Danio rerio: one gene and its partner. The protein of the gene in region 2 interacts with the protein of the main gene of each other region in a pairwise test. Links are inferred from orthologs where the notes say so. Each region holds a gene or a part of one and is shown on either strand. Other genes may lie near its edges.

Region 1 (13,084 bases), on a different chromosome or scaffold from region 2:
TCCTCTCTGAGGTAAACAAACAGTGCGTCAGCTCACGTGTGATTTTGCGGCTGCGAATACATCATTACATTAAGACAGAAATGACATTTTAGGGTGAATTATACACTTAAATTTGTTAAGTGACACGTTTAACACCATTTGGAGGTGTACATGTTGCCTAGCAGCATATGTATAACAATAAAAAGACTTGTGCAACTCACCTTTATGCTTCTCTCATGCTCTTGAAAATATAATTGGCTGAATCGTAGAAAAGCTGAATTAAGATTGTAGGATCGATTCAAGATCTCAATCCTTTTTTTGATAAATCGTGCAGCCATTGCAGCGGTCACACTGGACTTTTCTCCACATAGACTTCCATTCATACGCATGTGAATGCGTCAGACCGGAAACACAAGCTACTGTAGTGCAACAAGTTTCACAGTTCGCTGCGTTGGAAAGCTAAAGCTTGGTAAACTCTGACCCGCGAAATCACATCACATGATTGCGTGAGACCAATAAAAGATTAAAACATGACCTCTCAGTACAGAAATTTAATACATGGACCATTTGCTTGCTTTTTTAAATGTCTAATCCCTCTTTTCGAAGTGCCATACAACAGAATTTCACACGCACAAACTCTAGTGCAGGGGTGGGCAAACTCGTGCCTGGAGGGCCAGTGTCCTGCACAGTTTAGCTCCAACCCTAATCAAACACACCTGCTTATAGATTTATTGTGATCTTAAAGACACTGATTAGCATGTTCAGGTGTGTTTGACTAGTGTTGGAACAAAACTCTGCAGGGACACTGGCCCTCGAGGATCAAGTTTGCCCACCCCTGCTCTAATGTGACCGCAGCATCACCTGTAGGTCTCCAACAAGCCTGAAGGACTTAGTTTGATCAGGTGAGCTTAATTAGGCTTAATTAGGGTTGAAACTAAACTGTGAAAAGAGCTGCGGCCCTCCAGGAACTGGAATTGACACCTGTGGCCTAGACAATATAGTTTTCCAACTTAATTCAGTTTAAGTTTTGTGCTTATGTCAGTGCAGTTAAATATATAATTTTACTGGTTATCAGGAGACATCTCAAACTGTTCCTGGAGGGTCAATGTCCAGTAGAATTTTGTTCAATCACACAAGACTAAAAGGCTCCTATTGAATCTGAAGGCCTTTGGTGTATACAAAATCAGAGCAGGTTCTGTATTTCAATATAAACTTACTTCTTGAGCGCTAAAAATGTTTGCTCTAGATTATTTGTAGTATGAATAAAATGCAGACGGGCGACACAGTGGCTCAGTGGTTAGCACCGTCACCTCACTGCAAGAAGGTTGCTGGTGGGTTTCCCCCGGGTGCTCCGGTTTCCCCACATTGCAAAGACGTGCAAAGACGTGACAAAATTAAATTGGCCATGGTGTAAGTGTGTGAATGTGTATGGATGATTCCTCCTAGTACTAGGTTGCAGCTGTAAGGGCATCCACTGTGTAAAACATATACTGGATAAGTTGGCAGTTATTCTGCTGTGGTAACCCCAGATGAATAAAGGGACTAAGCCGAAGGAAAATGAATGAATGAAATGCAGACATATTCCACTCAACGCATTATTCAGAAACTCAGCCAGAAGTAGTAGGTCAACCAGGTATTTACCAACTAAATTTTTCATATGTTCATATTTGCTGTTTTTGACATACTCTATCCGCTTGTTAAGTGTGATGCCACACAAATCAGATTTTTGGTCCAAGCACTTTATCAAACTGGATAGGGAAGACTCAACAAATGGTAATAATAAACGTTGACAAAGTGATTAAAAAAAAAAAAAAAAAAAAAAATATATATATATATATATATATATATATATATATATATATATATATATATATATATATATATATATATATATATATATATATATATATATATATATATATATATATAAATTTTTTTCATTTTTGAATATTTTCCAAATTATGTTTCCCAAATTTTATCAATATGTCTGATAAGATTTTTTCTTCTGGAGAAAGTCTTATTTGTTTTATTTCAGCTAGAATAAAGCAGTTTTTATTTTTTTAACGCCATTTTAAGGACAAACTTATTAGCCCCTTTAGATATTTTTTCGATTGACTGCAGAACAAACCATCATTATACAATAACTTGCCTAGTTACCCTAACCTGCCTAGTAACCTAATTAACCCAATTAAGTCTTTAAATGTTTCAATATTCACTGTCATCATGGCAAAGGTAAAATAAATTTTTTATAGAGATGAGTTATTAAAACTATTATGTTTAGAAATGAGTTGAAATAATCTTCTGTCAGTTAAACAGAAACTTGAGAAAAAAATAAACAGAGGGGCTAATAATTCAAGTGGGTTAATAATTTTGACTTCAATTGTATATAAACTAACACAGAACAAGTGGACACAATACAATATGTAAAAAACTGAAAAAAGTCCACAAAAAATTAACAAATGAACCATATATATATATATATATATATATATATATATATATATATATATATATATATATATATATATATATTTTTTTTTTTTTTTTTTTTTTTTTTTCCATTCATTTTTTTTTCAGTTTAGTGCCTTTATTAATGTGGGGTCGCCACAGCGGAATGAACTGCCAACTTATCCAGCACATTTTTACGCAGCGGATGCCCTTCTTGCCACAACCCATCTCTGGAAAATATCCACACAAACTCATTCACATTCATACACAACCGACAATTTAGCCTTCCCAATTCACCTATACCAAATGTCTTTGGACTGTGGGGGAAACCGGTGCACCCGGAGGAAACCCACACGAACGCAGGGAGAACATGCAGACTCCACACGGAAACGCCAACTGAACTAGGCGAACAAGTGACCTTCTTGCTGTGAGGCGACAGCACTACCTACTACCGACATCTAAATGTGCTGCCTACTTTTTGAATGGGAGGTAGGACAATCTGACAAGGTATGACAAATCAACAGAACACCGGAAACAGTATTCCATACGTCACAACTTAACAAGCGGATATTTAAGTGCTTTCATTTGGATTAAAGCTAAACTTTGCAGGACAGTGACCTCCTATAGGGACAGCCCTACTTTAACATGGAAGAATATTCAGAAAATTCATTTAGATTCATGCACTCATCAAACTGAATCCAATTCAATCGCGAGCTGCTAAACCACAGCAGATAAAAGAAGAAAAAACAAAGAAGTGTGTTTTGACTACAAATAGCCCCCGTTGCAACACCTTCATGATAAAGCCTCTCTCTCCACCTTCATCACCTAAAATTTCCCTAGATTGTCTACAACAATAAAGGCGCTTTGTAAACACCCACATTCATTCTTTTTTTTTCCCCTCCACTCTCGCAGCAGGCTCTGAAAGGCCGGCTCTGGGGACTAGCCTTTTACAGGCGAGTTGAAAAAAAAAAAAAAAGTGGGTGCTTTACACACTCTGGCACACTTCCTGAAGCTGCTGCAACTACCAACTAACTGCAATTTCAGCAAATTGTAACATATCCAAGTTGGATGGGCACTTCCTGCTAGTTCACTGTCATTATGAGATATGAGCCGAGGGATTCTGCTCCTCAAATAAGAACTGCAGCTGGGTTTATTAAGACTAAATGAGAGATTCTCGTGACACTTTCAGATACTACAGGCTTCTTTTGTTTCCAGTCACATTCAGATGAATTCTCTGGGTTTTACAAGACAAATAGATAGCTGTTTGTCAGCATTGCAGATTTTGATCTTGACCCAGTGCTGAAAAAGACCCCTTTGGGATAGCATACAGATTAATAATGATGCCGAGAACAGGCTGACAAAGAAAACATTTCTCTCTTAAACTCTTTAGCAATGTCAGATGCTGTTGTTTAGGGGTTTTTAATATTCTAGATGACCTAGATGTCCAAAAATGATCATCCTGCACTCTCAGAAATAAAGGTACAGACGCTGTCACTGGGGCAGTACTTTTTCAAAAGGTACATATTGATACCTAAAGGTTCCATAATGGTCCCTCAAAGGTACTTTTTTAGGTACATTTGGGCACTAATATGCGCCTTTACTGTAAATTCTTTGGGTACAAATATGTATCTTTTGAAAAGGTACTGCCCCAGTGACAGCTCCTGTACCTTGATTTCTGAGAGTGTGGTGTGAAAGACCCCCATCTTAATATATAAAAAGCATCTATCTATCTATCTATCTATCTATCTATCTATCTATCTATCTATCTATCTATCTATCTATCTATCTATCTATCTATCTATCTATCTATCTATCTATCTATCTATCTATCTATCCATCCATCCATCCATCCATCCAACCACCCACCCACCCACCCATCCATCCATCCATCCATCCATCCAATTTAAGTAGTTATTATTATTAATCTAAGTTTATTTTTTATATTTTATTATGTACATTTTAGCTTTAATTCTATGTTTATTAATTTATTTAGATCTTACATTAATTTAAATTATTCATAAAAAATTCAGTGTGTTTTTCCCAAACATTTCCATAGCACTTTGCAGTTTAAAAGCCTTGCTTTCCTTCTCACTTTGTATCAAAATATTTTAGTGTCATATTAGTGGATTAATAATTTAATATGTGTTTTAGACTAGTTTTAAAAATTAGCAATCGGTACATACAGCATGAACTGTTACACTGCCTTTATATTACAACTTAAGGTATTTAATGGCTGTTTTTAAAGGCTACTTCTGTACTTACTGCAGAAAACACATCTTCATTTGGATGACAGTATAGGCTACTATAGTCTAATAATATAAACTAAAAATACACTAATGTTGAAAAATACACAAATAAATTAATAATTAAAATAATTAACTAGTATATTATGGTTGTAATAGTGTACAGAAAATAAATAATGGGAAGAAAATTGTAATTATAGTTCATTTTGTTCTGTGGAAAGGCATGCGATTTACAATACCATATTTATAAACTATTGTTTCCCAAATAACTTTTTTTTTTATTAGGAAAAAAATAAACATATAAGTTCTTATTTATTATGACGTATAAATTATTAAAACACATCTAGCAGCAAATAAAAAAAAAACGGAGTACAAAATGCATTGTTGCACATACTTTACTTTTTACTATGCATTTAGGCAACAAACAGCTAATGCTCAGTACTGTACATGTGGATGCTTACAACCGTTTAAACGCCGGAAATAAAACTGATTGAAAACTGAATCGTTTAATGTCGTCCATTCAGTATAACATAATGTTCTTACCAAAACATTTTTTCCCTTATGGATATTTACATAAAATCCAGCCAGCTTAGTTGCATTGCATCGTATTAACTCCCTCTCTCTAGACTTAGGGTGTCACTAAATGATATTATCGCATTAACATAAGAATACCTCACAAAAATGACACCGAGAGCCTTATTAGTTACTTTGCGTCCACACTCAGCCTTTCATACACCCTGTTCCTCTGACTCAGTGCTGTTTTAGCAGCCGGACTCAGACATGTCAAGTTTTTGTGTATGTGAAGTCAGTAAGACTCACCGCGGAAGGGCAGTAGCCGAGCAGGGCGAGAAAACACAGCGGTTTCAGCACCACGAACAGCGGCCGCATTCTGCCTCGAGTCTCCCGCCTACGTGTCTCTTTCAGCCCGATTCCCCGCGATGGTTCAGATGGAGCTTGTCCGTTCGCTGGGACCAGAGATTCTCGACAGAGCCGCGGAAAATGCGAGCGCTGTCATCGTCGCTCCGGGCGCAGAAAAGTTTGAGAGATGTGTGGAGACTCTCGGCGGATATTACATCATCGCTTCACTGTGGGGTTACTCTACTTATCTGCCAAACTTGATGTGTGTAATAAGTTCACGACTTGTATATACTTTAGGTAAAAGCTAAAGACTAAGGTTTAGGCTGTATGAACAAAATGTCCACTATCTCGTTCTCATAAGAAACGAATCTGACTCCTTTAACCTGTTTTATAGCATATTTTAAAGAAATTATAATAAGAATTGCAATTTAATTATTCTTTTTAAGGAGGCAAAAATAACCAACAGTACATTAACTGGTAATTACTTAACCATATGTAAAACTTTATTTTTAAATGATATAATAACAAGCATTATCACACATTTTCTAAACGCCAAATATCATCAATTATATCAATCATGTTTCTACAATGATTTTAAGATTAAAGTTTCTTGTGACAATTTCGTGACAATCAACCAAAATGAATTCACCAACATGAATTACCTCAAATAAATCAACCAAAATGAATCAACCAAAATTAATTTACCAAAATATATCAAGCAATGAAGCAAAATTAATTCACCAATATGAATCATTTATTCATGTTCTTTTCGGCTCAATCCCTTTAATAATGGGGTTGCCTCAGCAGAATGTACAGCCAACTTATCCAGCATATGTTTTACACAGCGGATCCCCTTTCAGCTGCAACCCATCTCTGGGAAATATCCATATACACTCATACACTACGGACAATGTAGCCTTTCCAATTCACCTGTACTGCATGTCTTTGGACTGTCAGGAAAACCGGAGCACCTGGAGGAACCCCACGCAAACACGGGGAGAACATGCAAACTCCACACAGAAACACCAACTGACCCAGGCGAGGCTCAAACCAGCGACGTTCTTGCTGAGAGGCGACAGCACTACCTACTGCACCACTGTGTCACCCCAGTAATATGGATCAACCAAAATGAATAAATCAAAATGAATTATTCAAAATAAATCAACCAAAATAAATTCACCAAAATTAATCATCAAAAATTAATCAACCTAAATTAATCAATCAAAATTAATCGACTAAAATTATTTTACCAAAATTAATCAACTAAAATTAATCAACTAAAATGAACTCACCAAGATTAATCAATCAAAATTAATCAACTAAAATTAATCGACTAAAATTAATCAACTAAAATTAATACACCAAAATTAATCAACCAAAATTAATCAACTAAAATGAATCAACTTAAATTAATCAACTAAAATGAATCAACCAAAATGAATTTACCAAAATTAATCAACAAAAATTAATTCACCAAAATTAATCAATCAAAGTTAATCAACTAAAATTAATCAACCAAAATTAATCAACCAAAATTAATCAACTAAAATTAATCAACTAAAATTAATACATTTAAAATTAATCAACTAAAATTAATCGACTAAAATTAATCAACTAAAATTAATACACCAAAATTAATCAACCAAAATTAATCAACCAAAATTAATCAACTAAAATGAACTCACCAAGATTAATCAATCAAAATTAATCAACTAAAATTAATTAAGTAAAATTAATCAACTAAAATTAATACACCAAAATTAATCAACCAAAATTAATCAACCAAATTAATCAACTAAAATGAATCAACTTAAATTAATCAACTAAAATGAATCAACCAAAATTAATTCACCAAAATTAATCAACAAAAATTAATTCACCAAAATTAATCAACCAAAGTTAATCAACTAAAATTAATCAACCAAAATTAATCAACCAAAATTAATCAACTAAAATTAATACATTTAAAATTAATCAACCAAAATTAATCAACTAAAATTAATCAACCAAAATTAATCAACCAAAATTAATCAACCAAAATCAATCAACCAAAATTAGTTAACCAAAAGAATCAAAGTAGGGATTTTGAATCACCAAAATGACTCAAAATAAGCGCTCATTCCATAATTAATATTGAAGTACGCATGGTATTATGTTACATTTTATGTCTAAAAAGTTTGATAGGGTTGGAAAATTCTATTGGACTTTTTTCTGTAAACTGCATTCCATCAGTGCATCTACCTGATCAAAACTAGTAACAACGTGTCTCATTAATAAACTGTTAGGCTAATATTAAACAATGGAAACTGGCAAATCTAATGCATGTTGAGTACATGTTCATCTCTGTCCTGGCTAACTTGTTGCTTTGCTGCCTAGCTTTTTGTTTACACTTGTTGTATAATTTATAGTGAAATGCGTGCCGTTTTATTGTTAAAGTAACAAAAAGTGACTGAAATTTGCCAAATAAAGTAGCCTAAATTTGTTTCTTATTTGATCAATCTGTAGCAAATGTTGGCATCACTCAACACTAAATACATTTTTAAGGTTTTCATCAGTAGTCTGTTTGGCCCACTGACTGAAAGTAGTGCAGGGAATGTACTTTGTTGCACAATATGAAAAATGGGTCAGAAAAGATCCTGTTTTCAAACCAATTTCACTCATAATATATGATGTAATATTAAACATGACTTTGGTTATTTCATAACACTGAAAATGAGACCAAATAAATGATGTATGTTTTTTTTGTATAGTATGTGCTTTATAGAATAAGAGGTTATGAATTGATGGCAGTCTAAAATAAAGCTCACAACACATTTCATTAAACAAGATATATGCTAAAATAGTCTCATCAGAAGTTAAATCATAAACCTAACCTCACCTCTGCTCACATTTTCAATTAGTTGCTTGGCAACAAGTGTGGTGCACTTATTTTAGACTGGGCTTCTCTTTATCTCTACCTATATTAAAAGAGAATGTCATTTTTTACTTTAGTGTTCATATCAGTATATGGTGAAACAATATACATAGAGACATTATTGTACAGTTAAAATATCCTGGGTTCGAATGATGTACGCAATAGAGTAGCTTGTCCTTTTTTAAATTGAGTTCACAGAATTATTCTATACTTTTTACAATATGTAATATAAGTATCAGGTTTCATACCAAAATACAGGGTTGATCATTTATTATACCATGCTGTAAAAGATTATTTTAAATGTTTTATTGTGTCTCTTTAAATGCAAATGAACAGCTGATCTTGCACCCTTTTCATATGAAGCCGTGGTTTACACTTCGTCAACCCAGTTACTTAGAACAACAAACAAAACCATCATGTGCTTTACAGTCTTGGCAGTCGAAACTCTTGGGGCTCTATTTTAACAAACCAATATACTAGTTAATAGCAACATTGTTAACATGTTAATAATAAATATTAAAACATTAACATTAAACTTTTCAATTATTTCAGACCCCTGGGGTAATTAGGTTATATTAAAGACACAGCAATACCATCAGATGCAGCACAATAGTTTTTTGGCACTATGTTAAACTTTCTAATGCCTTTATGGCACTCACGTACATCAAAAATAAATACAAGCCACAAATAAAGATGGAGGATGGTCTCTGAGTGGTTTTATCCTAATTAAATGATGAATAGACTTGGGCCTATTGATGTGTGCAAGGATTATTTATCTATAACCACCCCAGAGAATACTGAGGGTCGTGACTCGTGAGTCACTGGCATTGTTATTTTAGGGATCGCATGCTGAAAAGTTTGGGATCCCCTGGTCTAAAGCGCATGCATTTAGGTTGTGAATTTACGTTGGCAATTTTAATGATGGGAAAAAAGGTCAGTACATCCAAAAAGGTATACATGGGTTTTGATCATAACATGCGTTAAACCGATCAGAGAATTATCTCCCATTTACTTAAAGAATTGCCATTGTGCAATGATGGATTTGCTATTTATATGGCAGATTTCGTAAGCTGTGAAACAATTCACTAAGGATGAAACGTATCTGCTCATGCGTGACTACGAAACAAACTGGATTCCACAAAATCCTCTGTAGATGAAGGAGGTAGCTTTTTTATATTTACAGTTGACGTCAGAATTATTAGCCCCCTTCGAATTTTTTTCTTCTTTTTAAATATTTTCTAAATGATGTTTAACAGAGCAAGGGAATTTTCACAGTATGTCTGATGATATTTTTTCTTCTGGAGAAAGTCTTATTTGTTTTATTTTGGCAGTTTTAATTTTTTAAACACCATTTTAGGGACAAAATTATTAGCCCTTTTAAGCTATTTTTTTTATTCTCGATAGTCTACAGAACAGACCATCATTATACAATAACTTGCCTAATTCCGCTAACTTGCCTAGTTACCCTTATTAACCTATTTAAGCCTTTAAATGTCACTTTAAGTTGTATAGAAGTGTCTTGAAAAATATCTAGCAAAATATTATTTACTGTCATCATGGCAAAGGTAAAATAAATCCATTATTAGAACTGAGTTATTAAAACTACTATGTTTAGATATGTGTTGAAGAAATCTGCTCTCCATTAAATAGAAATTGGGGAAAAAATAAACAAGCGGTCTATTAATTCAGGGGGGCTAATAATTCTGACTTCAACTGTATGTAGATAATATTTTTTTACATTTTAATCCACATTTAATTTTAATTTTTGAACATATTTAATTACCTTTTCCAAGCGTGTTGCTGTGCATCCCATTGTGTGTAATAATGTCACATCCCCAGCTTGTTCCTGCTCACCCAATCAACGTTCTCCCTCACATACCACCTCCATCCAATCCAGTGAACCTTCATCAGACTACTAACGACTTGCACCTGTTCTTCATTACCCATGGACACTTTAAAGACCCATCTTCTTGGTTTTCTCGTCGGCCGGTATTCAAGTCAGATAGCTGTCTTCACCTTTGCTCCGGTGTCTTCTCACCTTTATACATAGTTGTTCCTCATGAGTCATCGAGTCCTTCATTCTGATCAAGGGAAGTGATTATTCTTATCTGATGTTTACTGGGAGATCTGCTATCACTCTGATGAACTGTGTGCCTGTGTACTCACCTACGGGTGATCTTTATCTGCTTACTGATCCTTCTCACTGATTCAGTGGAAAGCTCACTTGTGTAGTGGATACCAGAAGAATCACCACCAACTAGATGAACTGTGTATCTAAGTATTCACCTGCAGTGGTATAAGAACAAACATCTTGTGAAATCGAATGCTTACACATGAGATGTGTTTACCAGAAGATCCACTACCAACTAGATGAACTGTATACTCTCCTACTGTGTGTAAAACAAGCAAACTTCTAGTGAGATCGAATGCTACACTATTGATGCTCTCATTGCTGTATGAAGATCAAAACAGTATATACATTAACCCTTTGTATTCCCTTTGTGATTAGTGACTTTATTTTGAATAAAACATGTGAAAAGATAACCACTTCTGTCTTCTGTGTCTACCAGCGTGACAAATAAGCAATGTGTATTTTGGTATCGATAACATGCTCTTTAAAAACATGTGTATATAATAATAACCACGCTGGACACTGGTTTAAGTCCCAGCTGGACCAGTTGGTGTTTCTGTGTGGAGTTCTCCCCGTGTTTGCATGGGTTTTCTCTGGGTGTTCTGCTTACACTCACCGTCCAAATACATGCAATGAAAGTGAATTGGGTAAACAAAATGGCCTTATGAGTGTGAATGTGAGTATGGGTATTTCCCAGTACTGGGTCGTGGCTGGAGGGGCATCCGCTGTGTAAAACTTATGCTGAAATAATTGGCGGTTCATTCCGCTGTTATAACCCCTGATATATGAGCTAAGCCAAAGGAAAATGAATTAATAACCATGCCAGTGAATTTTAGACCAGAATTTCCATGGTCAAGGGCGCAAACCCTTTCAGTAGCCTCAAAATATCAATGCCCCAACATAAACCTTGACGTCTTTCCAGACCAGCATGCCCTTGAGCACAAAATTGGGTGTAAATACATTTGATATTAAAAACAACATGGCACAGGACATGAAAATAATACCTGCGCCAGGCTAAAACTAGCAAAAAACACTTGCGACACAAGTGTATGATATTGGGCCCTTCATTTACAATACACAAAAAGTGCACACAAACAGATGGCTTTCACATGGTAGTTTGCCTAAGTTCTCTTTTGCATCAGCTGTCAAATACACATAAGGTTATGTTAAAAACACAACTCAGGTTTTCCTGATGTTAGCTACAGTATGTTTGTAGATGTTAACTGGGAGGAAATTGCATGTATCAAGACATTTGATCTGTAAAACATCTCTTGAAAATACTATAAAGAGAGCACTACAAATGCAAGCCAACCAGGCAAATAGTTTTTGATGTGTACGTTCCCAGAAATAAAATACAATTTGGAGTGGGCTTTATGGCTTTGTGGATATTGTTTATGCTCTAAAAGCAACATTTGAGTAAGCATAAAGTGTAAAAAGTCTAATATTAAGCATATATTTTTACCGATTTTTATACAAGTTGATAGTATCTACAGCAACAGCACACCCCAAAGTCTTTTAAATGGTTAATCTTGTAAAGACAATGACATATAAGTTCACTTTGACAGTCTGTTGTGTCTTATTGCGGAAGCTGCAGGAGTCACCTTGGTGTTCGCAGGAGGTGCTCACCCCCTGAGCACACATCAGTTTAGCTATGTATCAAAGCTCAAAGCAGCTTGCAGACAGACATCTCAGAGACTGCCTTCACACCGCAAGCCAACATGTGTCAACAGCTAAGAAGAGAGAGAGAAAAAAATCAATAACCCTACCCCAATGAGCACTTATCTTTCTCATTACTCTCTCTGTTTACAAATGGACAGATTTTTAACACGAAGATTGACAAATGGATGAAGAATGAACTATTTAGAATGATGTACAGCCAGCTGTTATCACAAAATATAAACAGCATATTCATTCATTCATTCATTCATTCATTCATAGATTCACTCATATTCCTTCTTCGGCTTAGTCTCTGATTTATAAGGGATTACCACAGTGGAATGAACTGCCAACTATTCCAGCCTATGTTTTATTCAGCAGATGCTCTTCCAGCTGCAACCTAGTACTGAGAAACGCCCATACTTCGGACTGTGAAGGAAACAAACACACAAACATGGGGAGAACATGCAAACTTCACACAGCCGGGACTTGACCCAGCAACTTTCTTGCTGTGAGGTGACAGTGCTAACCACTGAGCCACCATGCTGCCATATACAGTATATTTTGTATTAAAAAATGTCTATTTGTATCCAATTGGGTTAACTGCCCATTTTAAACTGTCTACTGACCAGTTATGTTATGTCCCTTTATGTATTAATTCTGCTCTTTTTTATTTTTGGGAAGTGTTCTGTGTCTCTCTGCAGGAAGTAGCTGCTTGCTCCTTTGTTTGGTCCTGCCCCTGCTCCAATTGATGCCACACCCTGCCTTGTCAGCTGACTCCTGGCTGCCTATAAATTCTTCCTCTGTCACTTCCTGTTTAGCTGTTTGAGCTCACTTGTGATTGATAGTGGTGTG
Region 2 (13,083 bases):
TGTACCTAATAAAGTGGCCGGTAAGTATACATGCATCCAGATCTGTCTGTCTGTCTGTCTGTCTGTCTGTCTATCTATCTATATATCTATATATATATATATATATATATATATATATATATATATATATATATATATATATATATATATATATATATAAATATAAATATATATATATAAATATAAATATATATATATATATATATATATAAATATAAATATATAAATATAAATATATATATTTATATTTATTTATTTATTTATTTATATATATATATATATATATATATATATATATATATATATATATATATATATATATATATATATATATATATATATATATATATATATATATATATATGGATGGATGGATTTCATGTCTCACCTGTAGATGCTCCTCGATGTCCTTGCGGTCGTAGGTGATGCCGCTGGGAGTAATGCAGGGTTCCCTCATCAGCTCGAAGCTGATCTTCCCACACAGGTAATCGGGGATCTCGCGTTTCTGCACCACCACCCAAACACACAGACAACATTACAAGGAGCAGGATTTGGGCCAGTGATATTTCAGAGTCAGTGCAGCGATCAGAAAATCCCTTCATACCTTCCTCTTTTCATCTACTTGAGAGAAAAGCTCATCCATGTCCATCAGATACTTATCCTGCAGGGACGAGCACAGGAAATGACATCACTTCATCAATCATACACCGATTATATGCAGGGAATAATCGACAATATGCCTGTAATTATTAGAATAACCTGCATCCACTGACTTCCATAGTATTTCTTTTCCTATTATGGCAGTCAATAGATACAGGTTTACAGCTGTTTTAGGATCATCTTCAAAGCTCATCGGCCAATCAGAATCGAGCATTGTGCTGTACTGTGGTATGAGATGTGTTTATGTGGACGTCTCACATGCTTGGACTTCATCTTGCTAATGTCTCCTCCATTCTGACTGTCATCTGACTGCTTCACTCGGTCGTCCAGCTCTCTGAACACACACACACACAAACAGAAGCATGAGCACACTGACAGATACTCACACACACACGCACATGCACGCACTTAAACTCACACAAACAAACAAAAACACAAACGTACAAGAGAGACATAAACACAGAAAAGCACACACACAAAAGCACTCACACACACACACACACACACACACACACACACACACACACAAACAAACACAAACACACAGAAACAGGAAAGCAAACACACATGCAAGCAAACACGCACACAAATAAACACAAACTCACAAACACATGTACAAAAAACGCAAACACACACAACCAAACACAAATGCACATACAGAGAAAAACAAACACAAATGTGTACACACACACACACACACACACACACACACAAGCAAACACACACACAAAAAGACACACACAAAAACACAAACACACAAAAGCCACACAAGAAAACACACACAAGCAAACACACAAACACACACACACACATAAAGCCACGCACAAAAAACACACACAGCCCCACAAGTAAACAAAGACACACAGACACACACACTGATACAAATAAACACAAACTCACACAAACACACATACAAAAAAAAATCACAAACACACACACACACAAATGCACACACAGACAAACACACACACACAAACAAACACACAAAGACACACACACACACACACACACACACAAAGCCACGCACAAAAAACACACAAGCAAACAAACAGACACATAGACACACAAGCAAACTCACACACAGAAGCCCACATGGACACAAATAAACAAACACACATACAAAAAAAAACACAAACACACACACACAAACACAAATGCACACACAAACACACACACACAAACACAAATGCACACACAAACACACACACACAAACACAAATGCACACACTTAAACTCACACAAACAAACAAAAACAAAAAGCACACACAAAACACACAAGACAGACACACAAACAAATGCACACATGAACAAACAAAGACACACACACAAGCAAACACACACACAGAAACACAGGCAAGCAAACACGCACACAAATAAAGAAACTCACACAGACACACATACAAAAAAAACACATATGCACACACAAACACACACACACCTCTCCTTCTCGGCCAGGATGAGTTTGCTGAGATAGGCGTGCAGCTCGTTCTCTTGGCTGATCCGCTTCTCCTCTATGCTGTTCCAGCGTTTCTTCTTGGCGATGCGAAGAGCACTTGGGATGTCGTCTCCAAAATTGAGCCTCTGTTCCTTCGCCAGGTTATAGGCTGGAAATGATTCAAAGAGCAATTTAATCACAGACATTGTATGATGTCTAGACATTCTGTAGGGCATTTTAGAGATTTTGTGCCAATAATGTTTACTTATTTTATATACTATTAATGACTAATATATTGACCAAAAGAAAATCAACATTATTAGAGAATAGATTAATTTAATGAAAGAACTTTCACCCAAAAATTACAGTTCTGTCATCATTTACTCACCCTTTACTTGTTCAAAACATGTCAGAGTTTCTTTTTTCTGTACAGAAAGGAAGATTTTTTAAAGAAGGCTGGAACCCTGGAACCATTTGACTTCAATTAGTTTTGTTTTCTACTATGGAAGTCAATGGTTACAGGTTTGCAACATTTTTCAAAATATCTTCTTTAGTGTTCAACAGAATAAAAAAACTCCTGAAGTTTAAATTTTGGGGTGAACTATCCCATTAAATGAAGATAATTTGAAGAAAGCTGAAGAGCACTGACTTTCATATTAAAAAACAAGTTCTATGGAAGTCAATGGTTACAGGTTTTCAACATTTTTCAAAATATCTCCTTTTGTGTTCCATAAAATAAAGAATTTCATAAAGCTTTAAAAGATTGAAAAAAGGGTGAGCAGTGCTTCATTTGTGAATTGCGAGGTCCCAGAACAGATCGGGGTAACAGATCCGTCATGTTACCTCAGGATGTAGAGGTGCCACACACAAAAGTTTGGCACAGACTAAATTGAAGGAGGGGGTGGGTAAGATGGCGGGGCGTTGGATGGTGGAGGGGGGGGGGGTGTGTTTAAGATAGCGGGGCGTTGGATGGCAGAGGGGTGTCGCTGACGAAAGTGGAGAGGGTTGAGGAGTCGCGAAAGAAAGTGAAAGTGAACAGCGGATGAGGGCGGTTGAGGAGGGGGATCAGTAAAATGAGGTGCCAGATCAGATTTCAGAGGTATCCGGAATGTTTACTTTAAGCTAAATATTAGTATTTTTAACAATATCTAGTCAAATATTATTTGCTGTCATCATGACAAAGATGAAATAAATCAGTTATTAGAAATGAGTTATTAAAACTATTATGATTAGAAATGCGTGTATAATCCGCTCAGTGTGTACCTCTTTGTAAGTTGCCGATGGCTTCTTCGTAATTCTCCAGCTCCAGCTGACATTGGCCCAGAAAAAAGTGCGCCTTCACCGATTGGCTGTCGAGCTCGAGGGCGTGTTTACAGTCGGCCAGTGCCTTGTCGTACTGCTGTAGCTTGACGTAGCATAGCGCTCTGTTAGTGTAGTACACGGCCACTGATGGGTTACGATTCTACACAAACAAGCAGAGACACGTTTAATACAACACACAAGATCATACAGAACAACTCATGAGCAACTCCAGCATTATGGATGTGACATCTGGAGTACAAACTTGAAACTGAAAATTCACAGAGAATGTTTATGTTAATATTAAATCGAAATAGCAGTTAATATTTGTGACTAAACACAGAGTTAATCATAAAATATTAATCTGTAAGTGTGTTTTATACTTTAAATGAGAGAAACAAACATGCGTTATGGATGTGACCAAAACATTATGTGGATTTATAGCTTTTTAAATGTAATATATAAGTGCAGTATGTAAGTTTGACACCCAGTGGTGAAACTAGGTATTGCACCCCTTGATCAAAACAAACGCAAGCACAGGTTGCCAGATTGTACAGAAACCCGGAAGGGACGTAGTTGAGGAGAAAAAATTGGCTGGGAGAAAAAAATAATGGGTGAAAAAAAAATATGGTTGGGAGGAAAATATATATTTCTACGTTTTTGCGTTCCCTCGCGAAGATGTTTTGCGTTCTCTCGCAAAACTGTTTCTCCACAAACACTTCCTGTTCACTTCACTCACGTAAACCCACCCGTTTTAGCTGAAATTCTCCCATATTTTACCATTCTATCCCAATTTCTTTAATATGCAATATATATGCAACCTCTGAAGCAGTGAAAGCATGTATAAGCGCTGACTGACAGACGCGCTCCGTACAATAAACTGATCCCAGCTCAGCGTCTGTACACGCCATTTAAAGTGACACCTGTTATCAAACAAGTGAGCAGCAAATGAATCTCATGTTTTGTTTTGTTTGATAACAGAGGTGTCTCTGTAAGAATGCACAGATCAATAATGAAGCATTCCATTACTTTAGAAACTGTTTACGCTCATTTAAGAGAAAATAAGCTTTAGTTTTAAAATAAAACATGCAGGACGGAGATGTTTACATATTATTGAGTGTATTTGTCTGTTTAAACATACACCCGCTCCTCTGTAAATGGCGTATACAGAAGTATACATATTAAACATTATTATTAAACAGCACTAAATATTTGATGTTTTTATACAATAATTAACTTCTGAATTTATTTACAGTTGAGGGCAGATTTCTTCACCCTCTGGTGAATTATTTTTCCTTTTTTAATTATTTGCCAATGATGTTGAACAGATTCAGGAATTTTTCACAGTATTTTATTTGTTTTATTTTGGCTAGAATAAAAGCATTTAATAATTGTTTTAAACCATTTAATAGTCAATATTATTAGCCCCCCTATGCAATGTTAGTTTGGATTGTCTCCAGAACAAACCACTGTTATATTATGACTTGCCTAATGACCCTAACTTCACCCTAATTAACCTAGTAAAGCCTTTAAATGTCACTTTAAGCTGAATACTAGTGTCTTCAAGAATATCTAGTCTAATATTATGTGCTGTCATCATGGCAAAGAGAAAATAAATCAGTTATTAGAAAGGAGTTATTATAAATATTATGTTTAGAAATGTGTCCTTTAAACAGAAATTGGGGAAAAACTATTTACCAGAAGGTTTAATAATTCTGAACTTTCTGTGAGTCTGAATTTCTCCTAAACCCCCCGCTGTTGAAACTGACACACATATTTACTCTGTGTGTTCCCAGCACCCCTCACTCACGATGGCTTTGCTGTAGCAGGTGACGGCCTCCTGGTACTTGCGGCTGAGGAACAGGCGGTTTCCCTGCTCCTTCAGCTCCTGTGCGGATGAGCTTTTCTCTGGGCTGCTCGCCATCTTCTCCATGGGCTCTGCGGTGGCCGCTCCCCCCTGCTTCCCAATCCTGTTCCCCGTCTCTTCGGTGAGCACCGGCCGGTCCCGGGGAGCCAGTTACCTGCAAACCTCTCAGAAACACACAAGGAAAATATGAGCCACAGTAATGCAGGTGCAAAATCATAACAATATTCTTATGGGGTCAATTTTATTAGCCACCATAAGAATATACATTCAAAACAGTTTGTTAGAAACAATGATATGCTTTGCGTGTTTGTTTTTATGTTTATATAAGTGCTATTTTCATTTATAGCTCTTGATTTTTGCATTGATTTTTAATATCTCTTGTTTAAATACACTATGAACAGCAGCTACGCTAATTATTTTCTTTATTTTCTATTTCCACCTGGGGATACTCATCCCGAGGCCTCTAGAGATTGTGCAGCGCCATTGATGTGATCCAAGACCTGTGAAGAAATGATGCCAACCGCAGAGCACTTCTAGAGGTCTCCATAATCCTGGACCAGGCCGTATCCTGAGCAGATATCAGGGCCGGAGTGGGACTCATTTTCAGCCCTGGAGTTTCAAGCCAGACCAGCCCACCTCGACTGATTACATTAAAATAAGGTCATTTCCAATTCAGTTTCTAATGACACTATCACATCTTTTTTGAGAAAACAGCTGCTTTAGAAATTCAAATGTTCAACAACCCTTACAGTATTATGTCATAAAAACGAAAAATAATAATAATAATTTTTCAGGTGAGATTCGAACATGGGTCGGAAGTTTCGCAACGCAACGTGCTTTCCACTGGACCACAATGGCGCTATTCCAGTGGGAATAAAAAATAAAGATTACACTGTGAACGGCAAGACATAGTATTACTTTGATGGCTAAATCATTTTCTCCTTTTAGATTTCTGATCAAGTTTTGTCAGATTTAATGTAGTAAATCATCTGATTTTCATTGAGCAGGTGTATTATTCATTAATATTAATTATTCAAATTCTTATAATCACTAAGGTGCCACTGTTTGGGGTCGAATGATTAGTTACATCATCATTAACGTTAGTAAACCTGCAGGCTGCATTTTGCTCACGGAGCAGCAAGAAAAAAAATAAATAAAAAGAGCGGCGCTGCGGCAAAATAATGAAAAACAAAAAAAAAGAGTGAGGCTATGGTCAAATTAATAAATAAATAAATGAAAAAAGTGTGACTGCTGAGAGTGCAAGCAGCTAGGGACACTGGCCCTCACGGCCAAAAAACGGACCGACCCACCAGGAATTCTCTCGGTTCGCCAATCCGGGCCTGGCAGATATTGTGGTTGTCATGGAGGAGCTGAGAGCATAAGACTGATGCCTGAATCACCCCAGTGACAAACAAGTCCTCACATTTATCAAGTGGGCCAGCCTGAACACACGCCGGTGACCTACTCACACTTGCATCTTCTCCACGATGGACATCCAGCGTTCTCCAGCCTCCGGCGCCTAGACTGCTTTTCTGCAGTTTGGTCAGAGGAGAAATGGTCGTGCCCAACAGAGCCGGTTTCTCTCCAGGTTTTTTCCTTCACTTCAATCACGTCAATTGGTGAAGATTGTTCCTTCGCTGTTGCCACTGGCTTGCTTGGTTTGGGAATTGTGGAGCTGCGCATCGATGGATTTGCTCTTCAGTGTTTGAACTCTCAGTATTGAATATTAAACCACACTGAACTAATCTAAACTGAACTCCAACTCTGAAAACTGGACTGACAGTTTACACTATCACTATATCACTATAATCTTCTATGTTAAGCTGCTTTAACACAATCTGCATTGTAAAAGCGCTACAGAAATCAAGATATTTTTCAATTAGCTACAGAACAAACCATCATTATACAATGACTTGCCTAGTTAACATAATTAAGCCTTTAAATGCTGAATACAAGTATCTTGCAAAAACTTGCACGACCCTCAATTGGTACTAATGGACCCAAAGTGTGCTAAAAAAATCTCCCCCACACCAATACACCACCACCACCAGCTTAAACCGCTGACACAAGGAAGGATGGATTCATGCTTTTATGCTGTTGACGTCAAATTCTGACCCGAGCATCTGAATGTGTCAGCAGAAATGGAGACTCATCAGAGCAGGCAACGTTTCTCCAATCTTCTATTGTCCAGTTTTGGTGAGTCTGTGTGAATTGTAGCCTCAGTTTCCTGTTCTTAGCTGACAGGAGCGGCACCCGGTGTGCTCTTCTGCTGCTGTAGCCCATCCGCCTCAAGGTTGGACGTGTTGTGTGTTCAGAGATGCTCTTCTGCAGACCTTGGTTGTAACGAGTGCTTATTTGAGTTTCTGTTGCCTTTCTATCAGCTGGAACCAGTCTGGCCATTCTCCTCTGACCTCTGGCATCAACAAGGCATTTGTGCTCACAGAACTGCCGCTCACTGGATATTTCCACTTTGTCGGAGAATTCTCTGTAAACCCTAGAAATGGTTGTGCGTGAAAATCCCAGTAGATCAGCAGTTTCTGAAATACTTAGACCAGCATGTCTGTTATCAACATCCATGCCACGTTCAAAGTCACTCAAATCCCCTTACTTCCTCATTCTGATGCTCGGTTTGACCTGCAGCAGATCGTCTTGACCATGTCTACATGCCTAAATGCATTAAGCTCCTGTCGGTGAGTGTATACTCTACATTTTTCTGATTTTGATTGAAATGTATTAACGTGCACCTTTTGTAGAGCTGCTGTTCATATAGTAGAAATGATTAAAATGAATTGTTTAATGTACATCACACACACACACACACACATCTGGACAACAGTAACACACATCTGGACACTGACAGTTGTGTGAAATCATTCATGACTCTTTATGCAGCTCTGTGAACTTAAAACACACACAATCCAACAGTTAATCACTAAAATTAAGCACTACCAACGAGTAAATGTAATTTCACGTCGATCAGAAATTAAACTCCTGTGCCTGACACATAAGCACATTCACACACACTTTACAAGCTAACAACCAGGTCAGCGCTGAGAATAAACACGCTTAGAGATTAAATCAGATGGTTTGAATATGAAATATGGATTATTTGAGGCGTACCGGGTTTGACTGCTGGACTGACGCCTGTCGTTAGCAAACCGGTAGCGACACTGGTGCTTTGATGATCACTTTTGGATCCCTGATAGCGAATGAAACGCGGCCAAACTCATATTCCGACTCGATCATGACATTAAGATGACAAATGTCCGACGTTTTCATCGGCGATCCTCAAAAACACGACATTTTACCCGCGGGTGTGAGACGCTAGCATCATGTTTCGGTTGTTTTGACTCTGCCGTCACTGTGACGTCGCCGGAGGTGACGATCGGAAGCTCGTTGCCAACGTAATAACGCCACCTGTCGGCGACGTGCAGGAGTTTAATTTCATAATAATAATAATTAGATAAAATATATAAATAAATATGAAAACAGTTATAATAATAATGCTTGATTATTATCATTATTTATTCTACATTTTACACGTTTTTTTCCGGTTACACATTTTAAAAAGTGTTCTAGAAAAGCATGTAATAAAAATATAAATAACTGACTTAATTTCTACTTCAGCATATAATTTTGAGCTTTCTAATGACTTTTAATTCTTATGACTTTAATACCTTATTTATAATTTTGACCTTTAAGTAACAGAGTAAGCCATAATTGCTCATTTTTTATTAAGAATTACAAAAAAAGTCTTAATTTCTTCTTTAAATATTTTTTTTCATGTAGTTATAGAATTTAGCTATATAATTTAATATAAAAATACATCAAATGTCTTTAATTCTCCTGTAAAAATGTGCATTTTGTATTTAATTTTTGTTTAGAGACATTTTAGAGTCACCCTAAAAAGCTGCATCATATTTTAGGTGCAAAACAATGAGTTTGCTAAAATGATGTGAATAATTTAATAATAAACATACTCAAATTCAGATTGCAATATAATTTCTTGCTGAACACCAAACACATTCAGAAAAATAATATATTAACATTAAAGAACAGTAAAAGAGTCACCAAACACCATTTCAGTTCATAAACCATATAATGCACTTAAATGAGGACAACATGAACAGTCGACAAGTAAGACAAGTAGAAAAAATACATGAATCAAAATGTGAATAATTATGATGATAATATATAATTCATTAGTGTTATCATCATTTTTACTCTACATTTTAGTTTTTTTGTGATTATTAATTTTAAAACTTTAAAAATGTTCAAGATAATGTGCTTTCTTATCACTTCTAATTTTGATTTAGGTATAACATTTCTTTTTTTTAATACCCTATTTATAATTTTGACCTTTAAATAACTCAGAGTAAGCCATAATTGCTCATTTTAATTAACATTTATGAAGAATGCCGTCATTTCTTCTTTAAATTTTTTTTTCATGTAATTACATAATTTAGTCATAGACTTTATTATAAAAATAAGTCAAATGTCTCTAATTCTTCTGTAAAAATGTGAATTTTGTATTCAGTTTTTGTTTAGAGATATTTTAAAGTCCCCCCAAAATAGCTGCATCATATTTTAGGTGCAAAACAATGAGTTTGCTGAAAATGATGTGAATAATAATAAATGTACTCAAATTCATGTTGTAATGTTATTTCCTGCTGAACACCAAACACATTCAGATAAATAATATATTAACATTAAGAAACAGTAAAAGAGCCCTCATTCACCAAACACCATTTCAGTTCATAAACCATATAATGCACTTTAATGAGGACAACATGAACAGTCGACAAGTAGAAAAGTATATGTAAACAAATGTGAATAATTATAATACATAATTCATTAGTTTTATCATTAATTACTCTACATTTGCAGTTTCTTTGTGATGATTAATTTAATAACTAAAAATGTTCAAGATATTGTGCAATGATTTAATTTCTACTTAAGCTAATCGTACTTTTGAGTTTTTGTATGATTTTAAGTATGACATTTCTATTTTTTACCTTTTAATTTGACCTTTAAATAACTCATAAGACTTAATTGCTCATTTTTAAATTAATAATTACAAAAAATGCCATAATTTCTTCCTTTAACATTATTTTTTTTATGTAACTACATAATTTAGCCATGGACAGTAATATAAAAATACATCAAATGTCTCTAATTCTCCTAGAAAAACGTGAAATTTAGTCTTTCTCATATGTACAATTACACAAAACTTCCAAAATCAGCCTGAATTTTGTTTTTAGTTTCATGAAGAATAAAAAAAAGTTCGTTTTTTGCATCATATTGTAGGTGCAAAAAAAAAAAACATGTGAATTTTTTCTAAATGCAATTAAATTCATTTATTAATTTTCATTCGCTTTTTCAGGGTCAGCAGTCTTAGGACAGAACCCCAGACACTTCCTCCAGCTCCACCGGAGGATCCTGAGGCACTCTCAGCCCAGCAGAGACACATAGTTCCTCCAGCGTGTCCCCCAAGGTCTCCTCCCCGTGGGACATGCCTGGAACACCTCTCTAGGTAGGCATCCGAAACAGGTGCCCGAGCCACCTCAGCCGACTTCTCTGGATGTGGAAGAGCAGCGGCTCTACTCCGAGCTCCTCACCCCGTCTATGAGGATGCGCCCTGCCACCCTGTGAAGAAGACTCATTTCGGCCACTTGTATCCAAGATCTTGTTCTTTCAGTCATCACCCAAAGCTCATGACCATAGCTGAGAGCAGGATTGTAGATTCATCGGTAAATCGAGAGCTTTGCCTTTTGGCTCAGCTCCTTCTTCACCACAACCGGCCAACACATTGACCGCATTACAGCTGCACCAATCCTCCTGTCAATCTCACACTCCATCCTTCCCTCACTCCTGAACAAAACCCTGAGATACTTGAACTCCTCCACCAGGGGTAAGGACTTTCCTCCATCCTCGAGATGGAATCAAACTCATGTTGCAATATGTCATTTCTATATTAATACCAAACAGATTCAGGTAAATGACACACCTTTCACAACAGCAAGAGCCCCCATTCACAACAAACACCACTTCAATTCATAAAACCATTTAATGCACTTTAATAAGGAGGACATGAAATCAAAACGGCATTATAAAAGATCATGTACATAATAAATCTGAAGCAACACTTCAAGAACACGCTTGTTCAGATTTCGTCATCTCCTACAGCTCTCTCTCTCTCTCTCTATGGGGAAAACAATGGAGCTAGATTTAAAGGAAGGGGCGTTTAAACTGACCTCAGAACAGCTTTCAGAACAAAAACAACATGCACACATTCCCTCAGAACAAACCAAATCTACATTCCAGAAGTAAACGGCGACGGACATCATGACGGGGCAAAAAAAACGGCAGTAGACGTTTGTTTAAAAGAAATAAACAGAACTCAAAGCTACACCTTTCATTTCAGCACAGTGGATGAGACGGGTGCAGCGCTCACTGGACTGAGATATTAAAGACTACAAGGACTGTGATGGAGGAGGACGTGGGCAGTTTACTATGGACGAGGCAAACATGATGGATATAAAAGTGGGGATATGCATGTATGTATGGGTCTGGGTGTTCGCTATGGTAACGTGAGATGATTCAGATCTCTCCGGCCTCTCTGTCGTCATGGCGACGAGATTCTGTCCGGCCGTTCAGCCCGTCTGATCTCCGCTCGGATGAGCTGCGCTTGGTGTCCCTCTCGCGATCACGGTCTCGTGAAGACCTGAAGACACACAGGAATCAGCTTAGTTCAACATAAGAGTTTGCTATTTATTTAAAGCATCAGTTCACTGTCAGGATAAAAAAATGTCTTCAGGTTTGGCATGAATATGCAAATTTTACATAAAATTCAAATGAGATTTTAAAAAGAGGGCGGAGCTACAAATCAGGGATTCAAAAATGATCGTGCCTCTTCACAGACAGTACACTTAAATCTTTCCAAGAAATTTAAAATCAATATGATATACCACAATCCAATGGTTTTAAATACCTTGAGCTGAGTCATTTCATTAAATCTTTGTCTGAAATGGGTAAACTGACATTTGAACTTGCAGCCATGGAGCAAATTGTATCAAACAGTTTTGCCAAGGGGCTAATTTCCAAAATATATAAAGTTCTGTCAAACTCATGTACTTCTTCCTTTGAGTTTGAAGTGTGTGTGGGAAAAAGACTAGGGTCACTAAATTAAAGACACGGATTGGTCTGAAATATGCACCAACTTGTATTCTAAATGTACTTCATTGGGTGTTCAAGAGCTCAATTATAAATTCATTAACAGAGTTTATCTCACACCCTTGCGTCTGAAAAAGATTTATAGAAACTCCTCTGATCTTTGTTGTAACTGCAGAAAAGGCAAAGGAACATTCCTTCACTGTTTTTGGGATTGTGACAAAATCATCTCTTTTTGGAGGAAAACACATCATTTTCTTTTTCTCTTTCAGATAAAGTTCTGTTTTTCTCTAGAATTGTATTTGTTGTATGATGTAGTAGAGAATGTGCCAGACCCCCACACCAAACACCTGTTTTAAATTTTGGTCTAACTGGCAAAGAAATGTATACTTTTATTGTGGTCATCTCCTCAGGTGCCTTCCTTTGAAATGTGGTTGTCTCAAGTATGTGCGTTATTTCCACTTGAAAAACTCACTTATGATGCACATCAAAAGTCAGATAGATGACTTCTGGCAGCTATAGACACCTTTTTGGCATTACATCAATAATCTCACCTGATTTTCTACTCTATGGTATATATATATTTATATATATATATATATATTTTTTTTTTTTTATATCCAGACTGTCTATCCTGACTGTACTACCATGT

What was found.
Region 1: the proteins of stub1 (region 2) and olfm3b interact in binary tests that used the Homo sapiens proteins (3 or more experiments, as listed by UniProt). The two-hybrid records come from large-scale screens. The link is inferred for Danio rerio from reciprocal best matches to the Homo sapiens genes STUB1 and OLFM3.

The regions. Positions count from the first base shown.
Region 1 is NC_133177.1:17,717,964-17,731,047, forward strand, and holds the start of olfm3b (noelin-3), read right to left. Parts: upstream 5,909-13,084; 5' UTR 5,559-5,908; coding exon 5,490-5,558; intron 1-5,489.
Region 2 is NC_133199.1:43,368,858-43,381,940, reverse strand, and holds the start of stub1 (E3 ubiquitin-protein ligase CHIP), read right to left. Parts: upstream 8,628-13,083; 5' UTR 8,382-8,627; intron 5,426-8,381; 5' UTR 5,328-5,425; coding exon 5,205-5,327; intron 3,558-5,204; coding exon 3,359-3,557; intron 2,265-3,358; coding exon 2,099-2,264; intron 995-2,098; coding exon 919-994; intron 662-918; coding exon 605-661; intron 506-604; coding exon 389-505; intron 1-388. Other genes in the region: luc7l (putative RNA-binding protein Luc7-like 1), read right to left, coding at 11,862-11,985. UniProt on the Homo sapiens protein: E3 ubiquitin-protein ligase which targets misfolded chaperone substrates towards proteasomal degradation.